Mytilus edulis: one gene and its partner. Each later gene encodes a partner of the first gene's protein in a complex. Links are inferred from orthologs where the notes say so. Each region holds a gene or a part of one and is shown in the gene's direction. Other genes may lie near its edges.

Region 1 (7,959 bases):
ATTTTTAAGCCGAAAAAGTAGGGACGGTAGGGTAACTGGAACCACACATATATTTTTATTTGGCCTTAGTCAATTCAAAAAATGAATTTAGAATCCCTATGTTATCTTCTGTCTATTGCCTTTTATAATACTCTGTGAGGCCATAAAAAAGAATAGGTTTGTTTGCCCAAACCCTACCTACCCAGAAAAAAGCTGCCTACTCAAATTCTTTTATTGTCCTGATTTGAAGAAGGTTTTTTTTAATCAGATAGGCATGAAGACTAATAAACATCGATACTTCAATTTCTCTTTTAGAAAAAAAAAAGAAAATGCCTACCTACATGTACCTACCCACTGTCTCAACCTTTGGGTAGGGTTTGGGCGAACCAAAATATTTTTAATTGTGGCCTGAGGTCCTAATTTACAATGTTGAAGATTGTCATAAAACATTAACATGTTTTAGATGTCAAGATATATTCATGAATAATAAATCAACAAAAGTCAGCTTCCCATTTACATGTTTACATATTGAAATTGTGAAAATAACAACTTATAAATTAGGGTTTTTTTAGATTCCAGAGAGACATTCATCATATCATAAACATATTTCAACTTTGTAAAAGCTCTGCTAAAACCATAACCTTGCTCGTTTTGTGCATCTAAAGTGTGTTAAATTATATCTTCAAACAACAGATTTCAAGCATGTACAAGAAGTCATGTTTAACTTGTTGAGAATTTATTTAATTTGTTTGTCAACACAATTTCAAATTTGTTAGCAGAGTTCAATTTTGTGACAACTCTGCTGAAAATACTGTAAATTTGATTTTTTTTTGTGCAGTTAAAAGGATGTTAGTCGATTTCTTTAAACATACAGGAATTTATGTTTTTGCTTATTCCTGTTTTAACTGTTTGTATATAGACAATTTCCTTACCTGATACTTTTTCATCCATCCCACTATCATATAAGGACTGAAAGTAAGGACATGATACCAGTACATTCCAGTGAGCCTTTACTTCCTTAAAATAAAATCATTAATAATTAAAAATCCAAATATGTAAACATCACCTACTTGAAAACATTCACAAGCATTTTCTCTTAAAATTAATTTGATAAAAGACTTAAATGGCTAGTTCAAGTAATTATGGTATGAATAAGAAAGGCTTTTGTAACGATATATATTTAAATGTTTATGATGCGCCCGATAGATAAGCACTGATGATGTGTACACTTTAGATGATGTCACTGTTTACAATTATACTTGTGTGCCTAAACTGAGGGAGGGTAGGAGGGGTCTTGATCTCGAAATCCCGGGATTAAAAACATGAAATCCTGAGGTCCTGAATTATAAAAAAATAAATCCTGACATCACGAAAAGGTCAATCCCGAAAATCATGAAAACACCCAATCCCGGTGTCCCAATAAAGGTCCTATCCCCCCTCTAAACTAGTGTTTAATTCTTATTGCCCTCATATCGTAGGAATAAAGATACATGGTGTCAGATTTTGGATTCAACCCACGTCCACATTCGTGGACCAGAACTTACTTCAGGGTAATAACATTATTAGGGAGCTACCATTTGATTTTTATGGGGGGGGCTAGGATGAAAAATTTTGTCCTACATTTTTATTTAAGCTGTAATCTCTGTCCTGCCTTTTTATTTTTCACTCTGTTCGGTCCTGCCTTTTTTTCTTTAGTTTATCCCGACTTTATTTTACCTAAATTGTCGTCCTGACTTTTTTTTTGCAAGTGTCTCATCCTGCCTTTTTTTTTAACTCAAAACTCCTGTCCTGCCTATTTTTTTCAAATTTCATCTTAGCCCCCCGTAAAAATCAAATGGTAGCTCCCTTACTTGGATGACTTTGTTTCAACTTTTAAATATATTACATGTACTTACAATATCTCCAACCATCAGGGTGACATCACAGAATTCAGTTTGAGATGACATCTGATCATATAAATGTTGTTGCAACTTCAATGCATGGGAACTTTTATTCCCCATATTTCTGGGGTATGCTTGAAAATCCATTTTGCTGGCTGTAGACCTGTTAACAGAAAAAATGAATTTAATCTATCACATAATAAGATTCAGCACTCAGAACCAATTCCTGTAGGTCTACAAACTATCAAATTACACTTCCAAATAACAAGTAACTGAAATTTCACTAAAATTACAATGCAAAAGTCCATTGCATAAATTTCCATAACTCATTTCAACTTTGCATCAGTGATGTAATACTTTTCTTTTACATAATCAATAAACAGTGTCTGATAAAAACACAAAAATAGCATAACGTATGGGCTAATCTGAAAAAAATATTGATATCTTTGATTAGCATGACAAAATTTGTGATTTTAATTGTTTTTTCAACTGTTTCTGATGGAGCACAATATTTGCTTTGAAATATTTGAAATATCAGGGGATTTTTTTTTATATTTAATATCAACCTAAATCTCAATGTCATATGTCAATGTATCTCCAGTGTTGAGTTGGCGCAGTTTCATACTGAAATTATTCAAATGGAATGATTTTCGAAAGTTATGTAGGAGATGTGCATCAGAATGGATTTGACTTCTGTCTAATTTTATCATTCAAACAATAACAGCCGATTTCATTGTATTAACAATTACCAGTTAGTCACGTTTCAGAACACATCACATGCTTTTGTAACATAAAATATTATCCTCCATGAAATATTGTCTTAAGACACCATTTCATAATGAAATATTGTCAAGGACACTATTTCATTATGAAATATTGTGCTTGTCCATGAAATTTTGTCACCGCCTTAAAGACAATATTTCACTATAAAATACTGTCAATGACAACAGAGACATATATACACATACATGTCTCTGATGACAATATATCATTATGAAAACGTGTCTGCTAACAATATTTTATATTAAATTTTGTCAACAGCATAATATTAATTTTCCCTATAGAATACTGTCCATAATAAAAATTCTTGTTCAAATTAATACAAGTTATATTACACAAACATGCAGCATGCAGATTTTTGAATAATAATAACAAAATATTTTGTAATTTGGTTATTAATATATATATTTATATAGATACATCACTCTTTATAATTTGTCTTTATGAATCACAAGTCTTTTCATAACTTCATTTGATTTCTTATCAACACTTTTGAAATAAATTTCATTGTTCTGTATACAAAAGTAATTAGACTTTCTTCTAATTACTCTCTTCTGATTTTCTGAAATTCCTTCCAGTGAAACTTTTAGACTGAGAAACTCAAAAAGTATTTTATACTCCTTGCCATCCATGATTACAAAACTAGTTTTCTATTTATCATGTTTATACCTGTATCTATTTATTATTATTTTCTTTTTTGTTATTGTCAATTGAAGAAAACACTTTAATGATATTTTTAACCATCATGATATATGATGATAACCTCCCCTTCATAAGACAAAATTTCATAACAATCAGTCTATGAAATATTGTCTTAATATAAACAAATGATTACTTCCCTTTAGCAGGACAAAATTTCATACTATTCATCTGTGAATTATTGTAATCAAACAAGACCAAATTCCACTATGAAAATTTGTCCGTCTCAAGACATAATTTTATAGATGAGGACAGAATTTCATAGTACATAGTCATGATATATTGTCTTGTTGGACAATATTTCATAGGACATTATTTTGCTTTACACTTTCGCCAGCATTATGTCAAGTTATTATGAACTTCAATAATTAATATGCACAGCTAATATTTTTTTTCACACAATGGGAAATGTAGCAGGGCCGTTGAAAATATGAAAATAGCCTCAGGGAAAACCACAGAGGCTCATTTTTTATTTTTGCTAAACATTTTCCTACATTTGTCACAGTAGTCCAGATAATACACCTTATCGCTAATCCCGGCAGACCCGGCCTCTTGAACTTTTGAGGTCAACAACAATCACTTTTCCATTGTGGCTTCAGATATTTTGTTTTATGACGTCAAAATTATACGGGAACCTGTGTGATATCCAGTAATGGCGGACAAATAGCGATATCATGCCGTGTTTTTTTTTTTTTTTATTATTGTGACTGTTTTTATCCCACATTGATGTTGTCTTGCTACTTTATTTTTTCGCTTTGACACCTTCCTGCAACTAAGCAAAAAAAAAATTGAATTGCAAATTAGCTTGACTTGCTATTGACAGAACGTCTAGTGCCTGTGACTAGACATTATGATTTTGTGGGCTACATGTAGGTCAGTAGGTGAAGGCAATAATTTGTAGACCATAAAAATCCTTGGTAAAGGTATATAGGTATGTATTCGTTAACATCTTCACTAGCATGACTAGTGACATAAGTCATTAAGTGAAGAGTGTCTGTGTTTGTTCAATATTTCGAGATCAGAAATAGAACTTTAGAAGAGATCTGTCCAAGGCCATTGACAGGGCTTGATCAACAATTGAAGTGCTTCATTCCGAGTCTATACTTTACGCAATTAAGGGCAGTACAAATAAATAAATAATTTGATAATTACAGTGGTTTAATCACAGTGTGATTTGCGAAATTATTCTTCAGCTCATCGAGCTCTCCCGTCTCACATCTCAATTACATTGGCATAATACAGAATATTTGATTGGTTAAATCTAAAATTTCAGCCAATAGAACGTTGTTTAATATTTTTTCCTCCCAAATTTCTAAAAGACAAACCCTAACCGAAATCATTTCCGTTTAAGAATTACAATATACAGACTAAAGCAGTTCATATTGATCAGGTCTCCATAACTTACATAAGGCTAAGCTATAAATCGTATAGGAATACTCACTGTTAGAGAGTTAGTTAAACCTTTCAAAGGACATTCTTTTTCATTTCATGAGTTGACAGATATATTCCATTCTTTAAAAAAGAAACCCTATGCCATATATTGGCTAATGCTAAGTATATATTAAAAAATTATCAAAACAAAATCAATCAAAATATAGACCCAAAGTGTGAATGCGGTCAATTAGAAACTGTGGAACATTATTTACTATTTTGTGAAAATTATGAAGAGGCAAGACAGAAACTTATACATGAGATATACTTCAACACAGGATCGTTACATATTGATTTGGAACTTTTATTGTCAATAGAAAAAAACGACAATGTCTCCGTCTCTAATGAAACACTAATGCGATTGTTGGGTGACTTTATTTGCGAGTCGCGCCGGTTTGATTAATGTAATGTTAGATTTTTTTTGATTTTTTTTTTCTTTATTTTTTTTTTTTTTCTTTCTTTTCCGTTAAATTTTCATGTTAATTAATAAATGTAGATATATTTTTTAATTTTTGGAAAAATATGTTAAGCACAGTTGCCACCTAATAGTATGTATTTTAAAGTACAAGTGAGTTGTTTACCAGAGTGAAATATAAATACACGAGAGATTTAAATAATTACAAGGGAGACAATCCAGTGTCAACAGCGACACCTACAGAATACAGAATACAGAATAAGTATATAATATAATGATTATGACTTTTAAGATTAAATTACCTTCTATTTTTTAATAATAAATGGAAATATATTTTTGGTTAAAGTCATATGCAACTTGAAATTAAAAAAAGTTAAGGGTTGGGCTTCTGTTGTCAAATCTAGCTGCGCCCCACGAAATATTTTGTATATAATTTACTTTAAATTTTTACCATTAGCCAGCAGAGTAAAGGTTCATGTAAGAGGGAAGGAATGCTCTTAACTGTCAGTCGTCAAACAGTAATTTTCGGCTACCTTTAATGTCAAATTGGTTTAAAATTTTACCTGGATTAGTTAAAATATCTTTATCCTGATTCATCAGCTGGTCAGTGGTCTCAAATAATTATCTTTACCATTTATTTCGTCAAAATCAGTAGATTATTTTTATCATCTAACAGAGAAAGTACATTTTAGGATTTACAACCCTAATGCATGGGTTGGGGTAAAAATCCATAATATTCATGAATTTAATTCAGTATAGATGTACATTTGTTAAATTTTGAAAAATTCAAAAAAAGTACATGTACAATGTAATATTATCATAATCAATTGTGTGTGTTCTCCATAACCGGATTATTTTCCAATTATTGCATCTCATCTTTTGTGAAAAAACCAGTGATAGTAAAAGAGCACTTTAAATGGCCATGAAGGCAAAGGGTCTTAATAGAGGGTTAAAAGATTATAGAATATATATACTAGGCCCTAAAAAATTATGAGTCAAGAGAAATAACCCCATATCCAGTATTTATGGTTTGGCCTGGGACCTGTCCGCAGATATCATCAGTGACCAACACACAAAATGCATTTCAAAAATCTGATGAGAAATAAATGCTTGGTTTCAAAACTAGTTCAGAAGAATATTTAGTTTTCCACCTAGTAAGACTAATATATTAGTGTAATAGTTTCAGGACACATTGATTATTTAAAAATAACATTCCTGACATAATTACATAATGTATGTATATACAAAAAAAAATCTATAAATATAAAAAGAACCTTTTAAAAATTTTCTCCACATCACAATGAATATCTAAAATTAATGAATTGCTAGAATTATATATAATAAATTCTTGAAGAACTGTCTGATAGGTGAAGACCAACTTTTATATATTTATAGATATATACATACTCATGATATTGTAGATGACTATAAGGGTCTCCAGGACCCCAGTGCCCCAGTCCATGAACCAGCATTTCTGAATTTGAAGGTCTTGCCCTAAAAAAATATTGTTCTATACACCAAAGAAATATAAATGAAACATATCTAAAGTAGGAAGTGCAGAATTTAGTTTTTTTAAGTGATATTACATGTATAAAAGCTAGTAACAGGTAAAACTGTGATAATCCTTAAGTTGGTAATCATGTTAATCCATTGATTATGTAATCACTAATTGTTATCATGTATATTCTTTTGTTAATAACAATAAAGAAACAAGTAAGGTGTGAGTTACCAGTAGTCTTAAATTGTCTGGTTCTCTAATTGACAAAACAAAACAAAATTGAGGTCATAAGCTTCAAAGTCAAGGTCATAAAAATAAGTAATTATCTTTTAAAATTGTTTAGAAGTGCAGAACTCAACATATTAATCAAGGGGAATTATTTAACCAAATTTCAAATATCTCTCATCATTAAATATAATCTGTAATACTGATTTTGAGGTCATAGGCTTCAAAGTCAAGGTCATGCAAATAGGTAATTACCTTTTCAAGTTTTAAGGAGAAGCACAGAACTTAATATTTTTGACAAAGGGAATTATTTAACCAAAATTGAAATATGTTTTATTATTCAATAGAATCTGTAATACTTATACCTTTTCTTTATTAGATCTGCACTCAGTACCAAAAGTAGGTGCGCTATCCTGATGTAGATTAAGATGAAAGGTCAAGGCTTAACGGGATGAACTTTGGATCAAGAACATGGAAGAAGTGAGCAATTGCTATGATTATGATATAAGTTCCAGCTGCTCAAAGAAACAGTTCACTGGAGAACCAACTTTAATGAAACAACCTGAAGCAGTTTTAGATGATGTTTATTATCGTTCACTTGAGTTAGGTCAGTATGAATAAATTCTCATTTTGTTCTTTCATGGATAACATCCTTGGAAAGAATTTATAATTTTGATTTGATTTTCTTTTGTATATATATATTCTAGGAAAAATAACTTTTTATTTAAAGAAAAACAACATCTGATTTAAAAGTGCAACACAAATATATATATGTAAAAACAGTTGTATATGACACCAAGAAACTTTATTAATTTTGCAGTTGACATATTTGTGTGTACAATAAAAGACAAAAAGAAGACCTCAGAAATAGTGAAGTAAGTTGCACTTAACCAAAAATTAAGTAGAACATTAGGATTAAAGATATGATTTCAGGTGAAAAGTGTCAGTTTTATTGAATGATGGAAGACATCACATATATCTGTTGCCATGGAGAAAATGTACATCATTTGACCTTTGAAATTTATTAATGACCTAACAAATAGCCAATGAAA
Region 2 (7,988 bases), on another chromosome or scaffold:
TAAACTCACTTGGGTAGGATGGCTTATTGCCGCTGGAAGATAAAAGTAAATATTTGAAGCATTATCAATGCTGTAATCCAGTCAATTAGACTTGAACAACCTCAATGTTAACTAAATATAAAACTACATATGAGTTATATGTTAAACATCAGGCTTTTTAAATATTACTTATATACGTTTTTTTTTCTCCAGAGGTGTCAATTCATACTAATTTTACTAATTTAAACAATTTTTCTCTCCAACCAACTAGTAATTTTTCTAAAGAAAGGAGATGGTTAACTATTTAAAAATATTTTCTTATATATATATATAAACCGTATATAAACTACCCGGGGTATAGCGAAAAATATTACGTGTTAGTGTTGCCCCATACTGTTAGAAAACTTCTTTCAATGTATATACTGTCAATCAGGGGTACTACTTGTATAAGTAATTTTTACTCCTGACTCACTGTGTTTTTCTAAAAAAACCCACAAAACAGAGAGGATTCATATAGATAAAACCATAGCTGTTGACACGTGTTACATGGTTGTTACTGACCTAGTTCATGTCCAACCGATGTAGACATGACAGCTTCTGTAAGGGCTGGATGGATAGAAAGACCGGTACTATCAACAACTGTAGAGGTCATCTCATCTTCATATTTAGGAGGATACACTTCCTGAAAACATAAAATCAAACAATAGAAAATGTTAAATATCTTTTTGTAATCATTCACTTAACACTGCTAAAAAGTATTCAATACTACAAAAAAATTTAAACAAGATACATCATTTACAAAAATTTTGATATACTTTAGCTAAAGGTATTTCTACTATAAAGAAGTATGTTTCTTTAAGGTGTCTCATGTGGAATAGGTTTTGAAAACCCTGATGGAGCACCTGAGATCACCTTAAGTTTTGGTTTGGTTCATGTTGCTAAATCTTCAGTTTTCTACATGTTGTATGTAGAGTTTTGTGGACTTTCATTTTTTGCAATGACTTAGTCATTTTCTCTTTAGTAGTTTTTTTTTTAGTTTTGAATGTACCCTTGGTATTGTTTAAAATTGAGAATGGAAATGGGGAATGTGCCAGAGACAACAACCCGACCATAGAAAAAAACAACAGCAGAAGGTCACCAACAGGTCTTCAATGTAGCGAGAAATTCCCGCACCTGGAGGCGTCCTTCAACTTGCCCCTAAACAAATATATACTAGTTCAGTGATAATGAACGCCATACTAATTTCCAAATTGTATACAAGAAACTAAAATTAAAATAATACAAGACTAACAAAGGCCAGAGGCTCCTGACTTGGGACAGGCGCAAAAATGTGGCGGGCTTAAACATGTTTGTGAGATCTCAACCCTCCCCCTATACCTCTAGCCAATGTAGAATTTTGCTTATTTTTTTTTTAGTTATTATCATGATCAACATAAGGGCTGTTCCAAAAATAAATGTATGGGGGAAGGAAGGCACTTTTTATTTGACTCCACTATGCATACATTTTAAATTGGATATTTAATTAAATGTTCAAGCAATCTTTCTTAAATAACCACCACCAATCAAATTTTAATAAAAGTGCCTTCCTTACCCCCATACAATTAATTCTTGAAAAACCCTTAATACTTTAAGCATAAAAGATATGTCTACATATTAAAATAAGAAATGTCTTCTTTTTTTATTTTACTTTGTAACCTTCTGTTTTATTTTCCCCAGAATTTGTGCAAACTCTCATTTTAATATTTTCCCCAGAATTTGTGCAAACTCTCATTTTAATATTTTCCCCAGAATTTGTGCAAACTCTCATTTCTTTATTTAAATTTTGTTTTAACATACACATTTCCCATTGATCTTTTCATAAATCACATTCTTGAATTTCGAAAAAAATTACCATTTCTTTCTTTTATTAATTTTCATAAATATTCTTAAATATTTGCAAGTTATAAATCTGAGTCCTATGCACTTTAATCTAATTATATTTCACATATTTACCTGAGCAATTTATAAGTTATAAATCTGAGTCCTATGCACTTTAATCTAATTATATTTCACATATTTACCTGAGCAATTTATAAGTTATAAATCTGAGTCCTGTGCACTTTACTCTAATTATATTTCACATATTTACCTGAGCAATCTGAGTCCTGTGCACTTTACTCTAATTATATTTCACATATTTACCTGAGCAATTTATAAGTTATAAATCTGAGTCCTGTGCACTTTACTCTAATTATATTTCACATATTTACCTGAGCAATCTGAGTCCTGTGCACTTTACTCTAATTATATTTCACATATTTACCTGAGCAATCTGAGTCCTGTGCACTTTACTCTAATTATATTTCACATATTTACCTGAGCAATTTATAAGTTATAAATCTGAGTCCTGTGCACTTTACTCTAATTATATTTCACATATTTACCTGAGCAATTTGAATCTGAAAAGTGGTTTGTGGATTTCTGAAGTGGGTTTTGTAATGTTTAATAGCTTCATCTCTCCTGTTGAATCCATTACGACATTTATAACAATGCCAATGTGCTCCTTTAAATTTTTTCTCTCCTTTTATTATACCAACTATGTCACAATGATCACAGCATCGTAGAATTTTCAAACCTGGAATTATAAAATAGAAATTGTCAATACAGATTTGATGTTCAAAGTTTAACTGATATTAAAACAAATATACATGTCTGCATGTATTGTACAGTTTCTATTACATACATACAGTCTTTAGAATTCTTATTTTTTCCCCCTCTTAGACTCAGTTTTGTGTGGAGCTTTTTTTTTCAACTTGAACTTTTGAGTTACAGATCAGAGTGAAATATTTAAGCCGTATGAAATGTAATTATGTTATTTACATGTTAAAAGTGTTTGTAAATTTGAAAATTCAGTAATGCAAATATTTTATTCACATAATTTATTTTGCACAAAAAGTTTATTAACCCTTGTACAGGTTTCCAATGGTTAAGGTATGTGAATCCAGGGAAAATATTTTATGGTGTTTTTTTTTTATAGTATCTATACAGTACAATCATGACAATTATATTTACCAGCAAAATCAATTCCTTTATCTACATGTTTAACTCTATAATGAGCCTTGAGTATGACTGGGTCATGATACAGTTCTGTCTTCACACAGAATGGGCAATGCATGTGTAATGTACCATCACCACACCTTTGATCTGCACATCTCAAAGGAGTCAAATTATTTTCTGTACCTTTAATCCGAACACTTGGATGAGTCTGAAATATAAAACAAATCACAACTCATTTATATATTATAGATTTTTACAACTTTATTGATATCACTATTATTTCATCCTTACTTTTGAATATTTACAAAAATGTATATATCTAGAAAAATTTTACGCAAAAATTTCTAGCTGTCAATTACATGGTAAAATTGTGTCTCTCTCAAAGGCAACAAGATGATGAAAATGGCTACAGCGATATGATATTGTAAAAATTGTTGCAGAACTTTTGTTTAGAGATAACAAATTTAAAACACATGTAGCCTTTTCAAGAAGTCATAATTATTTGGACTGGGTGATATTTTGTTTCTGACTACATAGTGTCTAGCCTAGTATCCTGGCTCACTGCTTGACAGCAGAGCCAGGCGGAATAAAAAGACATAGTTTTGTCAATTGGATGTAAGAAAGATGCAAATGAGATAGCGTCAATACTTGCCACTGCGGGAAATATTTGTACTGCCACAAATTTGTTTAAAATTATTTTTATTTCATAAGAAATGTATGATGCAGTCCCGCATATCCACACACCTAAGACTTATGACTTCACTTCATTCAACTAATATAACCAATAATTGGATAATATTGTGTTAACACATTCATAACATACTTTTATTTCATAAAATCTTCTGTTTGTATGCTTTCACTCTCAAGATTTTGTGTAATGTGTTTCTAAAATTAGGGAAACTCCTGTTCTAAGAGTTTCTCCAATTTCCGGTGATTTCGCGCATGTCTTCCAAAAATGGCTTATTTTGAATAATGGAAAGATTTTTTTCTACGAAACAAAGCTGAATTTGAACCAAGTACACTGCCAAGGATGCAGAGCAAAAAGTATTTCAATCTGATTTAAATATGACTCAAATAGAAGTTTTATCTGATGATGTATTTTTTTTAATGGAAATTGGCCAAATATTGAAAATCACAGGATTTCAGTTATTATTCAACTCTTGAACTTATCAATTTTATTCTTATTTACCCCTCGGAAGGCTAAAACAATAACAAGAACGATTTTATTTGTGCTACTGTTGTGATATGACAAAACCAGCTAATGTGCGGTATCAACGGTTGCGCGGACACTGGGGACTCCACTGTACATTTAAAATAATTTAGCAAATCTAACCCAAACGTTGTTGATTAACATTGTCATTCATTGTAAATCACCAGTTAATTAACGATGCGGTTGATTTATTTCTAGAACACACGCTTAAAGAGTGTCCTTCCAAGTAGTTATTTCCCTTTGTCCTTGATGGAAAGATGTGTAAAATTGAAACAAATTGAGAACATTTAATTGAAGTTATTTTTTTCTGGTTAATTGTTGTTATGTCCACCATTAAGCTACATTCTATGAATTGCATATCCAGAAAGTGTTTCCCCCAAATAAGAGATCATGCAAAAATGCATGGCTGGATTTCTGAATAAAATCATAAATTGTTAGCAAAATTCACCATCGATTTACAATTTTGCATGAACTATAAAGGACTTTAACATGTTACTCGCTTACAACATAAGTATTCATTGTCAAAGACAATGCTTCTGTCAGCTAGAAGCAAATTCAGTTTGGAAAACTATGAGATTAGTGTCTCCTTCTTTCTTTCCTTGTGTTCACGTCACCAATATATGTCGACAAGCGCAGAAGGATATGAACGTCACTTCCTGAAATTTCAAAGTCATAATCTAGGACGATATAGTTTCCTTTGCCGGGATCTCACGCTGACGTCTTCAGAAGTTAAAAACTCAGTTCCACACAAAAGAGGAATCCCAAATTATAAACATAAGAAAGGTACCATAACATTTATCAGAACACGAAGGAATATCACAGATAATAATGAGGAGGAGGAAAAAGACTTTGAAGCCTTTTCAGGTTCAGGTCAAATGTTAAGGAAGAAAGAAAGGAAATGAAAGCTTTATTTTTGTATGACTTGGGACTTTTGAACTGGCCATAAGATGTGCAGAGGACATTTATTTATTTTTTTTGTTAGAAAGAACTGTTGAACCTCCTATACAAATTTTCTTTGTCTTGCAATTAACTGTGAATTAACTGTCTTCTATCGGATTTTGGACGCTTCTTCAACATCGTTTCAATACTAGTCAATAGAGTAAGACACAAGAAACAAGCTTTTCTTTTAGGTATTTATAATCTTTGTCAATTTCACAATGTTATCTGACGCAAGGCTCCTTCAAATTTCTACTGCCGAACTGGTTTTACCAGGATATCTCAGATGACCCTAATGATTTAAAAGGCATTATATACACAATCCTGATGGTAAATCTTAGATCCTCTTGTGTACGTACCTGCAAAGAGGACTCACTTAATCTCTTCACTCAGGTATATATATAGTTAATAGTTATGTTTGAAATCATGTAATTTGGTTGCACATCTTGAATACACCCTATCGCTACATGTATTTTGAAATCTGCTCAGGTTGAACCCAGAATTTGTGCCGGTTGAGGCATCATATATTTTGTATTATGATGCAAAATTTTACTGGAACCTTTGTGATGTCCTGCAATAATAGCAGACAAATAGCGATAATGTGTATACATAAGCATTGATAAGATAAGATATCTATACTATTAAACGAGAATAGCTCATTTTGTGTGTCGCTTCTCTTCCTTCCACAATAAATTAATCATCATGCCTCTGTGTCCTAAAGGTACCATGTATTGTCGCATTTGTCATCCATTCTTATGATTATTCAGTTTGGGTTATTTTGGGAGAAAAACGAAAAAAACTGCGTCCGGAAATTTTTCCGTCATTGGACGAAATTTAAGGTATCCGGTCGTTCCGGCCCCAAACCGATCCGGCCCCAAGTCAATCCGGCCCAAAGTCGATCCGGCCCAAGTCGATCCGGCCCACGTCGATCCGGCCCCAAGTCGATCCGGCCCCATAATAAAATAAGAAATAACTATATTGATCTTGGAGGAATTTGTGACACAGTATAAATGGAATTTGCAAAAAGTGTCCAATGATGGATGACAACAGGTATTAAGTGAAGTATTGGAGTACCAGTTAAAGAACTATTTTAAATCGATACGAAAATGATTGTTATTGTGTCGTTGGTTGTATAGCAGCTTCAACATATTTTAAAATATGAAGTTATTTTCCATGATAACTTTAACTCATGGCGATTTCATTTTCTTTTTTTTTCATACACAGAATATCTAAATAAATATTTAGTCCACTGGAACCTATTAAATTTAACTCATCATAATGACTTGATTAATCAAATCATTAGTCTATAATTGGTTTGTTTATTCAACAATTGTCTGATGATTGTGAACTAAGGTGATGCCACTTGTAATCACTTAATTAAATCAAATCCTGATTAATTGATGTTCTGGTTAAGGTTGGTGTATATAATAATTATAAATTGTATTTTTTTCAGGTAACATCACAGGCTTCTATTTACTTGTTGTTTTTTTTTATAATATCAACGAGGTCTTTAAAGATTGATATTTTGTTTGGTGTATATAATAATAACCTATAATGGTTTACTTTTATAAACTGTTATTTGGATGGAGAGTTTTCTCATTGGCAATCACACCACATCTTCCTATATCGATATATTTTTCATAAATTTGACAGTATTTTGAATAGTTGTGTGTAGAAAAAACACAAGTTATATGAGTATCCATTATTCTTTATTGCAAGAAAATAACAAAACAATGACACTGAATGCACGTTTTCACACTCTAAAATAAAATATCAGCACTACTAAAATATAACAATAACATCATACATACTAACTATCTCTGACACTCACATAAATACACATAACCTTTTAATAAATCATTTACACTAACAGTTTTACACTGTCACTTACCTAAAGGAATTGTTTTAATATAATTATACCCAATAATCTTGAAAACTTGTAATAAAAACATAATCAACCTAGTTGTTTTATACTCATCTGAAGAATTTTTTTTTTTTACCGTACACCTTTAACATTGTAATAAAAATCATAAACATTTATGAATTACTTTAATATATATCTTTATTTTTATTCCTTATAAATATATTTTTTTATTGGGGCCGGATCGACTTTACATTTGGGCCGGATCGACGTGGGGCCGGATCGACGTGGGACGGATCGACTTGGGCCGGATCGACGTGGGGCCGGATCGACGCGAAAGCAAATTTAAAGTCAGACTAGACATCTGGTTTTTGTTTTTTCTGTACTTTGTACATACCAAGGATTATGAATAACGTTGATTTGCTATCTGCTATCATTTTCAAGTTTACTATCCACGACAGTAACTGGGTTTATTAAATAGAGAGGGTCTATATATTATGTCAATGACTGCTGTGGATCGATTAGTAAATTGAGAGTTGATATAGTAAAAAGCAAATACACTTTATTTATAGTAATGTATGTTCATAATATACACATAAACGCTAACATTATTTAAATCAATTAAAAAAAATTATAAGAGTTTTGGAGGAAAAAAATTAGGAGTCGGGCTAAAAAAACAATTGTCCTGTCCCAAAGTACTTATAACTTTTATTATCTTTCCTGAAATTCTCCAGTCATTATTTTTTTTACTAACATTCATCCTACAAAACTTTACATACTTTCAACCATGTTCTGGATGCCCGCGATTTCGCGGGTGTGTTCTAGCATTTATCATCCTTGTTTAAAGTATTTCAGTTTTGGTTATTTTTGGAGGAAAACGAAAATATAGGCGTCCATATATTTAACTGGGGTGACTTTTAATATATTAGTGACCGATTTATATAGTACTTAGGGTATATATATATA

The links.
Region 2: the proteins of probable inactive tRNA-specific adenosine deaminase-like protein 3 (region 1) and tRNA-specific adenosine deaminase 2-like are in contact, whole or in part, in a crystal structure (PDB 9HMM), measured with the Mus musculus proteins. The link is inferred for Mytilus edulis from reciprocal best matches to the Homo sapiens genes ADAT3 and ADAT2. Residues at the interface, in NP_001094076.1 of Mus musculus: Val217, Ala218, Pro220, Leu221, His223, Ile229, Asp230, Ala233, Gln236, Gly237, Glu270, Ser272, Pro274, Val276, Val290, Met291, Met294, Ala295, His298, Ala299, Pro311, Asp312, Leu318, Phe319, Val321, Arg324, Asp326, Leu327, Asn328, Pro349; in NP_080024.3 of Mus musculus: Val62, Asn63, Lys66, Asn67, Ala68, Thr69, His71, Met74, Ile77, Leu81, His85, Pro91, Cys107, Ile108, Met109, Ala112, Ala113, Leu116, Met117, Arg130, Phe131, Val137, Leu138, Ile140, Asp144, Leu145, Pro146, Asn147, Thr148.

What each region holds. Positions count from the first base shown.
Region 1 is NC_092346.1:29,879,924-29,887,882, reverse strand, and holds the start of probable inactive tRNA-specific adenosine deaminase-like protein 3, read left to right. Parts: upstream 1-4,674; 5' UTR 4,675-4,728; exon of another isoform or gene 4,729-4,788; intron 4,789-6,591; coding exon of another isoform or gene 6,592-6,656; exon of another isoform or gene 6,657-6,671; intron 6,672-7,286; 5' UTR 7,287-7,378; coding exon 7,379-7,514; intron 7,515-7,727; coding exon 7,728-7,782; intron 7,783-7,959. Other genes in the region: kelch-like protein 21, read right to left, coding at 912-996, 1,875-2,022, 6,592-6,656.
Region 2 is NC_092349.1:85,697,091-85,705,078, forward strand, and holds the start of tRNA-specific adenosine deaminase 2-like, read left to right. Parts: upstream 1-4,901; 5' UTR 4,902-4,943; intron 4,944-5,268; 5' UTR 5,269-5,355; intron 5,356-5,421; exon of another isoform or gene 5,422-5,554; intron 5,555-7,988. Other genes in the region: uncharacterized protein, read right to left, coding at 1-32, 541-661, 2,403-2,593, 3,031-3,223, 4,730-4,744. UniProt on the Homo sapiens protein: Probably participates in deamination of adenosine-34 to inosine in many tRNAs.